Arabidopsis thaliana: one gene and its partners. The protein of the gene in region 1 binds, or shares a complex with, the protein of each later gene. Each region holds a gene or a part of one and is shown on either strand. Other genes may lie near its edges.

The links. Proteins that work in one complex are often made in the same cells at the same time.
Region 2: AT1G60900 (region 1) and RSZ21 share a complex: the UniProt entries of both Arabidopsis thaliana proteins name them as parts of the spliceosome.
Region 3: AT1G60900 (region 1) and SC35 share a complex: the UniProt entries of both Arabidopsis thaliana proteins name them as parts of the spliceosome.

The regions. Positions count from the first base shown.
Region 1 is NC_003070.9:22,421,932-22,428,597, forward strand, and holds AT1G60900 (U2 snRNP auxilliary factor, large subunit, splicing factor), read left to right. Parts: upstream 1-1,962; 5' UTR 1,963-2,076; coding exon 2,077-2,187; intron 2,188-2,461; coding exon 2,462-2,754; intron 2,755-2,837; coding exon 2,838-2,987; intron 2,988-3,297; coding exon 3,298-3,365; intron 3,366-3,995; coding exon 3,996-4,072; intron 4,073-4,167; coding exon 4,168-4,215; intron 4,216-4,293; coding exon 4,294-4,353; intron 4,354-4,467; coding exon 4,468-4,528; intron 4,529-4,613; coding exon 4,614-4,726; intron 4,727-4,832; coding exon 4,833-5,279; intron 5,280-5,347; coding exon 5,348-5,483; intron 5,484-5,590; coding exon 5,591-5,658; intron 5,659-5,737; coding exon 5,738-5,875; 3' UTR 5,876-6,122; downstream 6,123-6,666. UniProt on the Arabidopsis thaliana protein: Necessary for the splicing of pre-mRNA.
Region 2 is NC_003070.9:8,426,701-8,431,259, reverse strand, and holds RSZ21 (RS-containing zinc finger protein 21), read left to right. Parts: upstream 1-1,774; 5' UTR 1,775-1,999; intron 2,000-2,018; exon of another isoform or gene 2,019-2,075; 5' UTR 2,076-2,095; coding exon 2,096-2,184; intron 2,185-2,256; coding exon 2,257-2,345; intron 2,346-2,441; coding exon 2,442-2,655; intron 2,656-2,860; coding exon 2,861-3,025; intron 3,026-3,162; coding exon 3,163-3,169; 3' UTR 3,170-4,003; downstream 4,004-4,559. Other genes in the region: AT1G23850 (uncharacterized protein), read left to right, coding at 4,215-4,559. UniProt on the Arabidopsis thaliana protein: Probably involved in intron recognition and spliceosome assembly.
Region 3 is NC_003076.8:25,680,646-25,685,174, reverse strand, and holds SC35 (serine/arginine-rich splicing factor-like protein, putative), read left to right. Parts: upstream 1-1,533; 5' UTR 1,534-1,621; coding exon 1,622-1,697; intron 1,698-1,792; coding exon 1,793-1,871; intron 1,872-1,949; coding exon 1,950-2,029; intron 2,030-2,127; coding exon 2,128-2,194; intron 2,195-2,372; coding exon 2,373-2,513; intron 2,514-2,689; coding exon 2,690-2,884; intron 2,885-2,966; coding exon 2,967-3,234; intron 3,235-3,320; coding exon 3,321-3,326; 3' UTR 3,327-3,442; exon of another isoform or gene 3,443-3,632; 3' UTR 3,633-3,973; downstream 3,974-4,529. Other genes in the region: AOX2 (alternative oxidase 2), read left to right, coding at 70-198, 420-908, 1,151-1,210; AT5G64190 (neuronal PAS domain protein), read right to left, coding at 4,022-4,529. UniProt on the Arabidopsis thaliana protein: Probably involved in intron recognition and spliceosome assembly, but not involved in alternative splicing regulation of the SCL33 intron.

The DNA of each region.
Region 1 (6,666 bases):
AAGTAAAAGAAAAGAAATAGGAGTATAAATATAAACGAAACACAAAATAGAACTGTTTAGGAGAATATAAAACTTTTACGTTGTCTCTACCTCTTCAAATTCACCAAATTTATTTTTTAAATAGTTTCCATCACTTGTCAATGTCACATCACCTATCATCTATCTCTCTTTTTCTCCCTCTCGTCCTTTTTCATCACTTTCATCATTCATGCATCTCTGCCCCCATTCTCTATTTTCTTCTATATTTCTCTAGTCAACCAAAAATTTTGCCTTAAGGAAACCAAAAGAGAAATCCAATTGAAAAGGATATTAAAATTAAGGGTAATATTAAAAAGAAAATTTTGGGCCCAACATCAGAACACCATTTTATGACTGTTTCTATTGTCGACTGTTTGACAAACTGAACAAACAATGGCTTTGATTGGTGAACAAAATCAAAGCACTACAATTTCTACAATTTATAAATTTATCAATCAAATATCAAAATTGTTACACTGTTTTTTTACAGTTTTTCTGTACTATTTTTCTTTTTCTTTTTTATACATCATTATGTACCATCTTACCATTATAACTACCAGGTAAAAAACTTGTAAATTTTTATATTATTAATAAGACCCAATATATATATATATATATATATATATATATATATATATAAGTTAGCAATCCAATGGTCTTGCAGTCTTTCATTATTGTAATGATGCTTATTAGGTTTTGTACTAAAATTAATGCTAATCAATTTAGAATTTACATAATAATATTTAGAATCATCTGTTTTTGTAACTATCTTAGTTTTAGAACTAAAAATAAAATAACCCAAAAAAAACTGGTAAGTACTAGTCTCTAATAGCTATGCTTTCTTTCTACAATATTATGGTAGTCAAATTATAAAAATATGGGGATGTTTCGAATCTTTCTACCGTAAAACTGGTTGTGTCCAAACGTATATATTTGGGATACAATAAAATAAAAAATAAGACTATTAAGCCAATGAATCATAATGAGGCCATAATTTTAAACGATTAATGGGCTCCTAAATATCTATCTTCATAATTCACACTCCACATGAATCTATTCCTAGTAACCCTAAGTGTTTTAATAATAGGATCTAGAGATGTTCGAAGATATAATTGCATTTTACTTTTCGTCGTACTTATGACGAAGCAAGCCTTGGACATCTCCGTTTTAAAACAGGGATCTCATGATCTTGAAAAGGATTCTTCAAGAAGCACAGAAAAAGACAAATTCGTATGAATTATTGACTCATATCAAAGTTATTTCATATAAACAAAATCCTATGAATTATTGACACTAGTCAAAACTCAATGAACAGATTGATTGGCCGTGAATGCTACGGTCCATGAAGGGATCGAGTGTGGACCAGTCTCTGCAATATATGTTGTTAGGTTGACTTGTTTTCACTAGAATCGTATGTTTTTCCAATCCATCAGTACGTTTAACTTCAAACCACCGTCAAATGAAAGCTAATTTAAACTTCTTCTTTTTTTGTAATATTTTGTGTCAACAATTGAATTTGATCCATGGTGAGAGAAACCTCTAAACGCCGGAGATATTTGTGATGTTTTAACGTGGTCTTTCATCTTCAATTGCTAGTTACGCCTAGAAACATATGTGACTTTAAACTATCAGATAAAGACTTATAAAACACACTTTTAAAAAGTCATAAACAAAGACATCTAATAATAATCAACCCTTAATTACACAAAAAATAATAATGTAAAACAATATTAGAATGATCAATTTTTAAAATATTTAGTTTTTTTTTTTTTTTGGTGATAGAAACTAAAAATTTAGACTATAAGCCGATAAAGCTGATAAGCCCATTAAGTATAATGAGACCCTAGTTTTCAAATTTGGACTAGACAAGCCCATTTACGGTTTTGGTGTAACACCAAAAAATACTGTTCAATTTACAATAATACCCATATATCACTTCATCTTCCTCGAAGAATCTTCATAATTTTTAATTCATCCTCCATTAGAATCCCTAGGGTTTTCTTCCATACACAATCAGACTCAACGATAAGTACCAATCGGAGAAGAGATCACAAGTGGATGATGAGTTACGAAGGCAACGGAGATGGTGTCGCTATCTCCACCGAAAACCACAACGAGAACTACATATCTCTAGAGAGCTCGCCTTTTCATGAAGACTCCAAGTCTCGAGTATGTTACACTTTCTTCTTTACATATCTTGCGTTCGATTCTGTAGCTTTTAGGTTTCTCTCGTGAATTAGACTGGTAATCATAATTTGTTCTCCACTTGTATTGTAATTTGGTACAATTCTCGGATTCTGCTTGTTGAATTTATGTTTTTGATAGTTTGATTTGAAGGATTCACTGGATTTAGAGTATATATTATCATGTTAAGTTCATATGTTCTCTTTAGAAATCTGGGGATAGTATATGAGAGAAGCCTTTTGACATTTGTTTCCTGCAGGAATCTCATGATCTTAAAAAGGATTCTTCGAAAATCAGTGAGAAAGACAATGAAAATGGACGTGATAAAGACGGAAACAAAGATCGTGATCGTGAGAAGGATCGTGATAGGGAGAAGAGCAGAGACAGAGATAGGGAGAAAAGCAGAGATAGAGATAGGGATAGGGAGAGAAGTAAGGATAGGCAACGAGACCGTCATCATAGAGATCGTCATAGGGACCGTAGCAGAGAACGTAGTGAGAAAAGAGATGATTTGGATGATGATCATCATCGCAGAAGTCGAGACCGTGATAGGTACTCATTAGTGTGTTGCAATTGTTTTTGTAGTTTTAGATTGTTTTATTCTTAAAATTGAAGGTGTAGTCATTTCTCGACAGGAGGAGGTCTCGCGATCGAGACAGAGAGGTGAGACACAGGCGACGGTCACGCTCTCGGTCAAGGAGCCGCTCTGAACGTAGGTCAAGGTCAGAACATAGACATAAGTCTGAACATAGATCACGCTCACGGTCGCGATCAAGGTCAAAGAGGTACCTGGGCTCTCCTGCTATTTTTATCTTTTCTAACTAGTTCTTTCCGTGGCCACATTGCAATGTGTTATGATATTGATGTCAAATCAAATAAAACCATTATTGTTTAGTATTTGATGTCTTTGTTTTGTTGACACAATATGATTATCATGGTCTTCTACTGGGTTGAACGGTCCCTCCTTATATGATTACCAATATTTTAGTCTGATCTGGGTCATTGATGTTTATGTGTGTTTCATACGTTTACTTGGCATTATTTTTTCGAACTCGTCTCTACTGATGTCTAACCAATTATATTTTGCTCTTTCAGCAAGAGGAGAAGTGGATTTGATATGGCGCCTCCTGATATGTTAGCTGCTACTGCTGTTGCTGCAGCAGGTATTTGCTTCATCATCTACTCAGGGTTATTATATTTCTTAACTGCTTGTTGTTTTTGATTTTACGTAGTTTGGAAAGATCATAGTCAATTACACGGTGTGACTTTGGTAAGCTGCAATTTTATTGTTTACTCGTGAACAAAGAGGACTTTGAAGTCTTGCTTTCTTCATAGGATGTCTTGTTATTTTTGTTTGACTGGTGGTTCTGGAACTGAGAAATTTTTTGTTTGTGTTTTTTTGGTGGTGTTTGTTTGTTTCTGTGTCTTGTCTTTTTGTAGTAAGAAGGCTATGTTGGGTTAGTTGCCCCACTGTGCTGACAATGAGCCGACCTCTCTAGCTTTAATTGTACAAGGAGGAATCAGTGCAACGGTTGTCATGGGTATTTTTCATCTTCGACTGGCAACTATATGCCTGTTTTCGAGCCTTACAATCTCTGACAACTAAAACGAATATTACATCACAACTTTTCATTTTAATATTCATAAGTTGTTGGTATACTTTCTACTTGTGGGTTTTGTAAGTAGCAAGGTGTTATCTGTAGCTTTGTACTTGTTGGTAGGTCTGCTCCTCCGGGAAACATAATAATGTATCTAACAAACATTTTTATGACGCATACTACTTTACCTAGCAGGCCAGGTTCCTAGTGTGCCAACTACTGCTACTATTCCAGGGATGTTCTCAAACATGTTTCCAATGGTCCCTGGTCAGGTATAAAAATTTGTATTTTTGTGTCTCTTATGTTCCTCTTTTCTTTTGTTTTATGCGAACATGCTCAGAACTTCTCAATCTTTTTTCTCACATAGCAACTAGGTGCGCTTCCTGTACTGCCAGTTCAGGCAATGACTCAACAGGTACGATCTATCAATCTATCTTATTCTTAGGTTCTTCACCTTTTGTCACGATTCCCTTCCTAAAATATGTAGTCGCAGGCAACTAGGCATGCTCGGCGAGTCTATGTTGGTGGCCTTCCACCAACTGCTAATGAACAGGTTTGTTACTTTTGTTTTGTTTAAGGTTTTGTGACTTTTTGTTTATTATTGTCTATTTAAACCACATTTCAATATCCATTGTATGCCTACTGAGAATGGGTTTTCATGTCCTAGTCGGTGTCAACGTTCTTTAGCCAAGTGATGTCGGCCATTGGGGGAAACACTGCTGGGCCAGGTATTGAAAAGTTCATTATATTTTTGTCATATTGGCCGCAAGTCTATACGAAATCTCATCCTTTTTTTGGATTATTAATTCATAGGTGATGCGGTGGTCAATGTTTATATAAACCACGAAAAGAAGTTTGCTTTTGTAGAGATGAGATCTGTTGAGGAGGCTAGTAACGCAATGGCATTAGACGGCATTATATTAGAGGTGATTTATTAGCTCTTCTACACTTTAGATGTTTGGTGTTTATTAGTTACAATCTGTATTATGAGTATTGAAACCTATCTGAAATCATAGCTTTTTTCATCTCTAGGGAGTTCCTGTAAAGGTGAGGAGGCCAACTGACTATAACCCGTCTCTTGCTGCAACTCTTGGTCCGAGCCAGCCTAATCCCAACCTCAACTTAGGGGCTGTTGGATTGTCTTCAGGGTCTACTGGTGGGCTTGAGGGTCCCGACCGCATTTTTGTGGGCGGACTTCCCTATTACTTCACAGAGGTACAGATCAGGGAGCTCTTGGAGTCTTTTGGGCCCCTAAGAGGTTTCAACTTGGTCAAAGACAGGGAGACTGGAAATTCGAAGGGATATGCATTCTGTGTTTACCAAGATCCGTCAGTAACAGATATTGCATGTGCCGCTCTAAACGGGATTAAGATGGGTGATAAGACACTTACAGTTAGGCGTGCAATCCAGGGTGCAATTCAACCTAAACCCGAGCAAGAAGAAGTCTTACTTTATGCCCAACAACAGATTGCTTTGCAGGTAAAGGATTCTGATTCACTCTATCTAAATGATCAGTAATGCTAAATCTGTCTCAAACTTTGTTGCAGAGGCTTATGTTCCAACCAGGAGGTACTCCCACCAAGATTGTCTGTTTGACTCAAGTGGTTACAGCTGATGATCTTAGAGACGATGAAGAATATGCAGAGATAATGGAGGACATGCGACAAGAAGGTGGAAAATTCGGTAAGCAATTAGATTTTCTTATTGTCTGTTCTGACATTATACCAATAGCACATTACTGAGGCTCATGGTCTAAAATGAACTTTGATAAATCATTGTTGTGTGTGTAGGTAACTTAGTGAATGTTGTGATTCCGAGGCCTAATCCAGATCATGACCCAACACCAGGAGTTGGGAAGGTTAGATTTCAGTCCTCAGATACAAATGTCTACCAAATTCATATATAAATTGCATACTCTAATGGTAATACTAATGCAGGTTTTCTTAGAGTATGCGGATGTGGATGGCTCATCAAAGGCCAGATCGGGGATGAATGGAAGAAAATTTGGAGGAAACCAAGTAGTGGCTGTGTATTACCCCGAAGACAAGTATGCCCAAGGCGACTACGAAGACTGAGCTATCTATCGTCTTCTTCTTAAGCTTTTAGTTTGGATCTCTTAGCAACAAGTTTGGTTCTTTTTTATTTTTAAGTTTTTTACATGTTTAGTTCTCTCTCTACTAAATGGAGAAATTTGTCTAGAATCTGACTGCAATAGTACTTGTCCAGGCACAATCAATTAAGGTGTGTGTTGGTAATAGTAGCTTTTGGTTTCATTGAACACTAACCAAACCACATCAGTTTATATTATTGTTCTTTTAAAAACTAAAAGACCAAACCACATCAGTTTCTAAATGCAATGCTGGAACATGTGCAATTGCTCTCACTAAACGTGAAATACTGGATTTATATTAGAAAAGTAAGATAGTAGGCAAGTAGCACCAGTGGTCTAGTGGTAGAATAGTACCCTGCCACGGTACAGACCCGGGTTCAATTCCCGGCTGGTGCATTTGAGCGTTGATGAAATTTGCTTTAAGCTAAGGTTGGGTCCTTAGCAATTCTCCGATGAATCGGATAATATAGCCTCATATCTGAGCTCATTTGTTTTTTATTTTATTTTACAACGAAAGTTACATGTCATGCTTTCACAAGACACATCTCATGTTACACGAACTTGAAGTTATGCCTGATAACACATTAATTTATAATTTATTAAAATATATATAACAATAATTTGAAGTTAAAAAAAATGAAAGAATTTTAAAATAATTAAAATTTGATAATGTAACAAGTTCCATATCACATCAATAATGTAGATTAGTGATAAATTTTTTTTCATATTTAGTAGAAAATGATTTGTATATATGAA
Region 2 (4,559 bases), about 14 Mb from region 1:
AAAAACAAAACTTCTACACACGATCTAAGACTATATCCATATTGATAAGATGAATTGAATCGATATATATTCTTACTTTAACAAAAAAGAAAGATCATTAGAGTTATCTTGTCTTACTAAAAGTCTTAGATAAAGACATAAAAATGGAACAAACATCATTGGGAATGCAACATGCATGTACATATTACATATAGTAAATATAATATAGTTAAAAGCGAAGTCATTATTATATGACTAAACTAAGATAATTAAAACATGTAAGCACACATTATCGGGAATGTATTGATATTAAAAGGGCACCACGTAGGTCAGGGTGGCCTCTCAAACCCCCCAAGGGACAAAGCAGCATTAGGATTGTCACTAAAGTACTAACCATGTGTTATTTTACGATATTATCCCCATTTGGTGTTAATGGTTCCAAGTGTCAATGTAAATAACGTTGACATATATAAGCCGTGTTTTGTTTTCACGTTGTTTAGGAAGCCAACGAGGATTGGGTAATTGGATCCGAATCAGATTGACACTTTCTTCTTCTTTACTTTTCTTGCTCTTCCACTTGACAATACCAATTTAGGGCTTGGCTGGATACAAATGTTTTTATCCTTCTTCAACCCGTTATCCGTTTTACTAGACTTAAAAAAAAAAGAATAGTATGTGTAAATATGATACATGATATCATGCATTTGTTAACTACGATAAAAAAAATCGAATATCTATATTGTCCATTTTGCAGATATCCCTTTTAAATATCTAACTAAATATCTGTAAATGTGAGGTTTAAAATTGAAATCCGTATATTTTTATTGATATGCACAACGATAGTTACAATAAGTAACATGACACTAATAATCACTCCCCAAAATTTTTATACAATTAGATATAATTTTAAATACTAATATTCTATAAATATTTCACAATTTTAGAAATTTTGATACTAACCAATTAATGTTAGCTTTGGATAACGAATGAAGTTATGGCCATCTTATTTCTTCTGAGCCATCTATTTAGCCATAGCCATCCAAAAATTAAAGAGTATCTTATTCCTCCCATGTCCAGCTTAAGGGACAAGCCAGGGAATAGCGACACGTGTAAATTGAATGTCGATTTTGTAAAAGGAGGTAAGTGGGGTCTACACAGTGGCTGCAAATAAACGAATCATAACTAAACACGTGTCAAAGACACAGTCTTAGAGGAGTCGATGTAAGTGGGACCCAGCATGACTTATCTTGGTTCAGAATGTTTTCCCCAATGGATAAGTGTCTTTTTGTTTTTGGTGGGATGATGAAACCTTTTCTATTTACGTCGACGCAATTTTAAACAATGAGACTCTTTTTTTTTTGTGTGTGTGCAATCGTTTAGAGACTTGTTCACATGAATTAGGTGCCCAATCATGTGTAAATTGGTAAGGTATATGTAAAACTAACAATTGTTACACTTGCCAACTCCAAACTTAGATTTAATCAGCCTACTATATTTTGAAAATTTAAGAAGATACAAGTACTGATGCAAAAGTTGAAAACCAAAACCAACTCATATGGGCCATTAAGCAACTGAAACTTGCTCATATTTTTAAAATTTTAACCAAAAGGTTATGGGTTTTAGGCCCATTAGTTTTTTTCAGACTGAGAATCACGTCAAGTTACAGTAATTAGACATCAAACTCTAGAAACATGTTTGCATAACTTTTGTTGTCAAAGATGTTTTGCATAGTTTCAAAATCCGCTTTCACCTCAATTCTCTTTTTACGTTAACTAATCGACTATGGGAGACTAGTCTTACATTTTGGTCGCTAAAACTTTGTTTATGAATATATGGATTACCGAAAAATAAGGGACCATGAAATAACTAATAAATGACCAAATAATATATGATGTTAATTTTTTTTTACTTTTCAGTTTTCATATAATAATGAAATAACTTGGTTACTCTCTTTCCTCGCCGTAGTCTGAGTCTGAACCCTAAAACATCCCGCTTCGCTGCTCAGGACCAAGAATCTCAGGTACCTTGTTAACTACTCGCTGTAACTATTATCGATATCCATATTTCTTCACAAAATTCGATTCTCTTTCGTTCAGATTCAACTGATCTTTGCAACATGACGAGGGTTTATGTCGGGAATTTGGACCCACGCGTCACCGAAAGAGAACTCGAAGACGAATTCAAGGCCTTCGGTGTTCTTCGCAAGTAAGTCCTATCTCTGTACTCAATTTTGTTTCAAGCCATACGAATTATGACTCTGAATCTTAAAAATCGCAGTGTCTGGGTAGCTCGTAGACCTCCTGGCTACGCATTCCTCGAGTTCGATGACGAAAGAGATGCTTTGGATGCAATCAGCGCATTGGATCGTTAGTGTTCTTCTCATTAGACCTCTTAGTTACCATGTAATGTTTGTATTATTGTTTGGTCATTGAAAAGTTTTACTCTTGTGGCGTATACTTCAGGAAAGAATGGGTGGCGTGTGGAGCTTTCTCATAAAGATAAAGGAGGTCGTGGAGGTGGTGGTGGTCGTCGTGGAGGTATTGAGGATTCCAAGTGCTATGAGTGTGGTGAGCTTGGACATTTTGCTCGCGAGTGTCGCCGTGGTCGAGGCTCTGTGAGGCGTAGAAGCCCTAGTCCCCGTCGTCGTAGGAGTCCAGATTATGGGTATGCTCGCAGGTAACGATCCAACGGAAACATTCTTATTGAGCTGCTTAGATGAGATAGTATGTCATTAGTATGTCCATTGTGTTAACATATCCATTGAAATTGCACTTTGTAATCATGTATAGGGGCTGAGTTGTTAATGTTGATAGTACCTTTCTTGATGTTATAATCGCTTTGTGACATACATTTTTGTTCCTGTGGAATTGATTTTGTTCAGGAGTATAAGCCCGCGTGGAAGAAGATCTCCTCCAAGGCGTCGCAGTGTTACTCCACCTCGCCGTGGGAGGAGCTACAGCAGATCCCCTCCTTATCGTGGTTCACGCCGTGATTCTCCTCGCCGCAGAGACTCGCCCTATGGTCGACGTTCGCCATATGCCAATGGGTAAAAGTTCTTTTCTCTTCTTGGATTTAGGTTTACTTTCTCAATCTGCATGACTCAACTTCAGCATTGTCTATGTAGATGTGAATAACATTTGAAGTATTTTGATATAAGGTATATATTCGTTTGCGTTTCTGCAGGGTGTGAAACTGGACCCTGAAGAGAAAGAAGCTATTACTAAGCTATGATGCTATATCTACTCTGTGGCGCCTTTTAGGATAGATCTTTATATCTGCTATTATGGTATTAGCTCTTCTAGGTTTGGTTGTTGAGCATGGACATGTCATGGTATGTTCGAGTTTTATTAGACAATTGGATTTGGTGAGTTCTCCTTCATGCTGTTTTCCAACAGCCGTCTTGACTTATTCTCTATAACACGCACTGGCCTGCTGTCTTCACACAGCGTCCTTGAACCCCTACACTTGAGGTCGTTCTTTCGTATCCATAAATGTTTTGTCTCTTGTTGAATGCACTTTCCTTATTATATAGACATATCTAAAAAGCTCAACTGTTTCCACTCTTTTTCCCTTGTGAGGTATGATTTATCGGGGATCTCTTGGCAGCACAGCTGCATCTTACTCTCCCCACAACTTAGTTTTATCATGAATCTGCATCCTCAACTCGACCAACATCAGCTAGAATTTGCTTGTTACATTGTGTGACTTTTAGATTGCCCTGCTCTTTACTCACCACTCCTACCCCAAGTCTGCAACCAAGCTTCTATTGAGAAAGACGAATCTGTTTCTTCACCCCGTCCTCTTCCTAGCTCTCGGCTGCTATATCACCACTTGGTTTCTCTACTCACTTTTGTTTTTCGGTCAACTTTGTTACACATCTGTTGGTGGATCACACACTTACATTAAATTAAACCCATTTGTGGATGCTTCTTTTTTATATTGCTTGTGAAAAACGTGTTAGCTTAGTCTTTTGTGTTCATGATTTGGTTTCCCACTTATGCTTTTCTTTTCCCAATTAATCTCGACTTTTAATCTGTTCTTCTTCGGCCGCCACATGTTTTCATTTTAATACTTTTCTAAATTTGGTTTTGAGGCAATTTGGTTCAGATTTGTTGGTATACCAATTCTTACGTCAACGTCAATGAAGAAACGACTCCATATTTACGAATAAAAAACTGTAGTAGATCTGTACTCTCCCTTTTTCTTTGTAGAGAAGAAGAGAACTGTGAAAGAAGATGAAGATTGAGGAGGATCTAGGTTTCATCAACATACTCAAACGAGCAACAAAGCTTCTATGTGGTAACATCAATCTTGTTCTCTTCCTCTTCCTTTGCTCTCTCCCCCTCTTTTGTTTCTTGATCTTCTTCGAGCTTTCACTCCAAACCACTGTCTCACTCGCTTCTCAATACCTCGTTCGACAACTCACTAATTGGGATTACTACTACGTTCCTCAAGATGCTTCCGTCTTGGAGAATCTGATTCCATTGCTTATCCAGACATTTCTACTCTACTTGTTCCCGTACGGCCTCATAGACCTCTTCACCACCACCACAATAGTCTCTGCATCTTGGACTGTTCAC
Region 3 (4,529 bases), on another chromosome or scaffold:
AAAGTTCGTAGACAAATTAAGCACTCTTTTATATGTAGTAGATATATGACTTAAGTATATTTTGAACAGCCATGGGAGACTTATCAAGCAAATCTGTCGATAGATTTGAAGAAGCACCACGTTCCGAAGAATATCGCCGACAAAGTCGCTTACCGGATTGTCAAGCTCCTCCGTATTCCCACCGATATATTTTTTCAGGCATGACTGTAATTTCAAATTTTAAAATGAAACGTTGATTCGTTTAATATGTTCATTGGTTTATTTAGCTGATTCGGTTTGGTTTGGTTTGTAATTTTGTATGCACATATTATCCTACCATGATTCACATATATACATACGTATGGATTCACTGTTTCACTTCACATGCTAATGTTTTACATTTTTTGTTCCTTAATGTTAAATATATGTTTGGTCAGCAGAGACGATATGGATGCAGAGCGATGATGCTAGAGACAGTAGCTGCAGTACCAGGAATGGTTGGAGGAATGCTTCTTCACCTAAAATCAATCCGAAAATTCGAACATAGCGGCGGTTGGATCAAAGCATTACTCGAAGAAGCAGAGAACGAGAGGATGCATCTAATGACGATGATGGAGTTAGTCAAACCCAAATGGTACGAGCGTCTTCTAGTGATGCTTGTTCAAGGAATATTCTTCAACTCTTTTTTCGTTTGTTACGTGATTTCCCCGCGGTTAGCTCATAGGGTCGTTGGATATTTAGAGGAAGAAGCTATACATTCTTACACCGAGTTTCTTAAAGATATCGACAATGGGAAGATCGAGAATGTTGCCGCGCCCGCGATTGCTATTGATTATTGGAGATTGCCTAAAGATGCTACGTTGAAAGATGTTGTAACGGTGATTCGTGCTGATGAAGCTCATCATCGAGATGTCAACCATTTTGCTTCTGTGAGTCTAAAACAACAACCCTTTTATTTTTTTTCCAAAACTCCCGAGTTTCATACATTTCTTCGGGTCCATTTCGGTGATATTAAAATAACAAATGATATAAGTAGTAGAATCAACGACATTTGGTGTGTGGATACATACAAGTTCATAGTTTTTAATATAAATCAATGAATTTTAAAAATCTGTGGATTTGTTATGTTGTGTGGTGTTTTTGAATTGTTAATATTGTGAGTTATTTGCAGGACATTCGCAATCAAGGAAAAGAGTTGCGAGAAGCAGCAGCTCCGATTGGTTATCACTAAACCAATTTCAAAAGAGTATCCTACTTGGAGTTTTTCTGTTTGTTTTTTTTAATGATTTTGGATATGAATTTGTTTGAATGTGCTAAAATATGTTTTAAAGGTGTTAGAGATGTACCGGTGTTTGTAAATTGCAGAATTGTTTTGGTAAAAATGTTTCAGACTATAATAAAATTGCGTCTCAACCGTCCCAATCGCTGCTGAACCGATACGAACCAAACTCGGTATCATCCGGTTCGATTATCTTCTTTTTTTTGTGTCTTCGTCAAGGGGTACAAATGTAATTAACAACAACGTCAAGCTTTAAAAAAAATGTCCCCGTATCTAGTAGATTCCATTGTTTCAGAAAAGCTTTAACCTAATTTCACTTCGTCTCTCTCTCGCGCTCCCAATTTCTCCGCCGGCGGGAAAACCATGTCGCACTTCGGAAGGTCAGGTCCACCGGATATCAGCGACACCTACTCACTTCTCGTCCTTAACATCACCTTCCGTAATCTCTCAAGTCCCTATTTCTGTTTCTCAACCTCTAATCAATTTTCGTGAACTGGGGGTTTCTAAGAGATTAGGTTTTGTTGTTATGTGTAGGTACGACTGCTGATGATCTCTATCCTCTATTCGCAAAGTATGGAAAGGTCGTTGATGTGTTTATTCCCAGAGATCGAAGGTCCAATTTCTTCTTCTTCTCCGACTGAGGAATTAGGGTTTCTTGATTTCTGTCATTGAGTCTTGTGTCAATTTATAGGACTGGTGATTCGCGTGGTTTTGCGTTTGTTCGGTATAAGTATAAAGACGAAGCTCACAAAGCAGTGGAAAGGCTTGATGGTATAATTATCCAGATCTTCTTATCTCTCTTGTGTTCTTGGTTTTGTTGTGTGCTTTTGGTGCCTGGATTCAACATGAAGCTTCTTTCTCTGTTTCAGGAAGAGTTGTTGATGGCAGAGAAATAACTGTTCAGTTTGCGAAATATGGGCCAAATGCTGAAAAAATGTAAGCTTCTTTCTTTGCCAATGATTGTTCAAGTTTACTCTTGATATTCGGGAGCTCACTATGAATGTTTCCTCTTTAGACCGTTTCCGTTATTTGTGCAATTGGAACTTCTATCACGTAAAAAGCTGCATCTGTAATTGTATTTTGATTCGTTTGTTATTATCATGATTCATGACAGTTCCAAAGGAAGAGTTGTGGAACCACCGCCGAAGTCACGAAGATCTAGAAGCCGTAGTCCTAGGCGGAGTCGTAGTCCTAGGAGGAGCCGTAGCCCGCCTAGACGTCGTAGTCCCAGAAGAAGCCGCAGTCCTCGTAGGAGGTGAGTTTCTTCTTTAATCTGCATTCTTATGATGATTAGGTGAACTAGTGGGAGTTAATAATGGTTATGTTATTAGTCAACTAGCTTTTGTTACTTGATTTATGAAAGAACTCCATCTCTGCCTAAGAACAGTATTTGTCTGAATAATTCTCTCATCCGAGTTACATAACTTGTAGGTCCCGAGATGACTATAGGGAAAAAGACTACCGGAAGCGGAGCAGGAGCAGAAGCTATGACAGGCGTGAAAGGCATGAGGAGAAGGATAGAGATCATCGTCGTCGCACTAGGTCTCGTAGTGCCAGCCCAGATGAAAAACGCAGAGTCAGAGGCCGTTATGATAATGAGAGCCGCAGTCACAGTCGTTCCTTGAGGTTTCTTCCGTTGTGAACCTCTTTTTTTCATGTTGTTGCTCCACAATACTGTGTATCCTGATTTCAACTTTTTGACATGCAGTGCATCTCCTGCTCGCCGCAGCCCTAGAAGTTCCTCCCCACAGAAAACCTCTCCTGCTAGAGAAGTTTCTCCTGATAAGCGTAGCAATGAGAGGTCTCCATCTCCTCGTCGCAGCCTCAGCCCAAGAAGCCCTGCTTTGCAAAAGGCCTCTCCTTCTAAGGAGATGTCTCCTGAAAGGCGTAGCAATGAGAGGTCCCCATCTCCTGGTAGCCCTGCTCCTCTGCGCAAAGTTGATGCTGCTTCTCGAAGTCAATCTCCTTATGCTGCGGTGGGTTACAAAAACACTGTGTTTCAGATGTGTATCACTAATGAAACTTGATGTCTGAATTGTCCTTGTTTACATTTTGTTTGCAGGAATGACTGCAGCCACTTGTGAAAGTGATACGGTGTATGATGAAAAACACGTTTGCTTGTACTGATGATGTTTCATCATTAAGCACTGGAACGTCTACCCTCTGTAGTATTACTTGCTTTCCGTAGGTGCCCTCAAACTACTGAGTACTGACTGTATCTTTGTTTCCTGTTATCGTTCTGGTTTAGTGTTCATGTGCAAGAATTATTACTGTTTGAACAGCCTTTTTAGTCTCTGTTTTATTTGAATCTTCTCTGGTTTGGAATTCATAGCATTCTAACTCCATTCCCCTGGCTTGTCTTGGATTTTTCTAGTCTGGTTCGAGAAAAGAATTGACTGGGAAGATGGCACAACCATGTTGAGATTGTAGCTGTTGATGGCTGTTTATGAAACTGTAGATGATCGATGCTGTTTATGAAACCGTAGATGATCGATGCTGGTCACAGCTATCTGCTTTAACTAGTATCATCCTTGTGTCGCTAATGCTTAGAAGGGCTGGTTCGTTGAGTTTTCAATCTTAAGTTGAGAAATCAAAGTTCAGTTGAGTTTCACTTATCTCTTGTCTATCTTCTGTTTAAGATTCTTATCAAAAGTACCTAATGCAAAGATAAATTACCAAATAACTAACTGACAATTGAAGTCTCTTCCTTTACCAATGTAAAGTTGAGATCACAAAGAAGTAATAACATGTTTTTGTTTAAAGTTAAGCAATGGTGAGATTAAGAAGCTGTGTAAACTCCAATCTACGAGTCTCATGGTAAAAAGTCTTGTACTTATTTGGCCAGTAAGTCAACCAAATAAACCCTTTAATCTCCCACTCCATTGTTCCCCCCAATGCTCCTTTTCCAATCTTCCACACCACACTCTCTCCATACTCGTCCCCTGCAAATATCACACCTCCTCTCCTCGTAAATGACCGATACGCTCTTGCATACCTATCCTTAAACCAAGACCTTGGGCTCATTATTGAAAACCGTGACGGCTTTGTCGAAAAAACCTCTCTTCCTCCAACGCTGCTATCATACAAGATCCAGTTTAGATTAGCTGTGTAGCCGAGCACAGATTGCTCTAATTTCCACGGGGTCATTGTCATGGTTGAGGCTTCTCGTCCAGCAACTCTTAAGCCTAGTGAGTTTGGTGGATCGAACGAGCCTTCAATAGATCTCTCGACTTCAAACTCTCTTCCCGGATTGTTTGATGATTTGCTAACC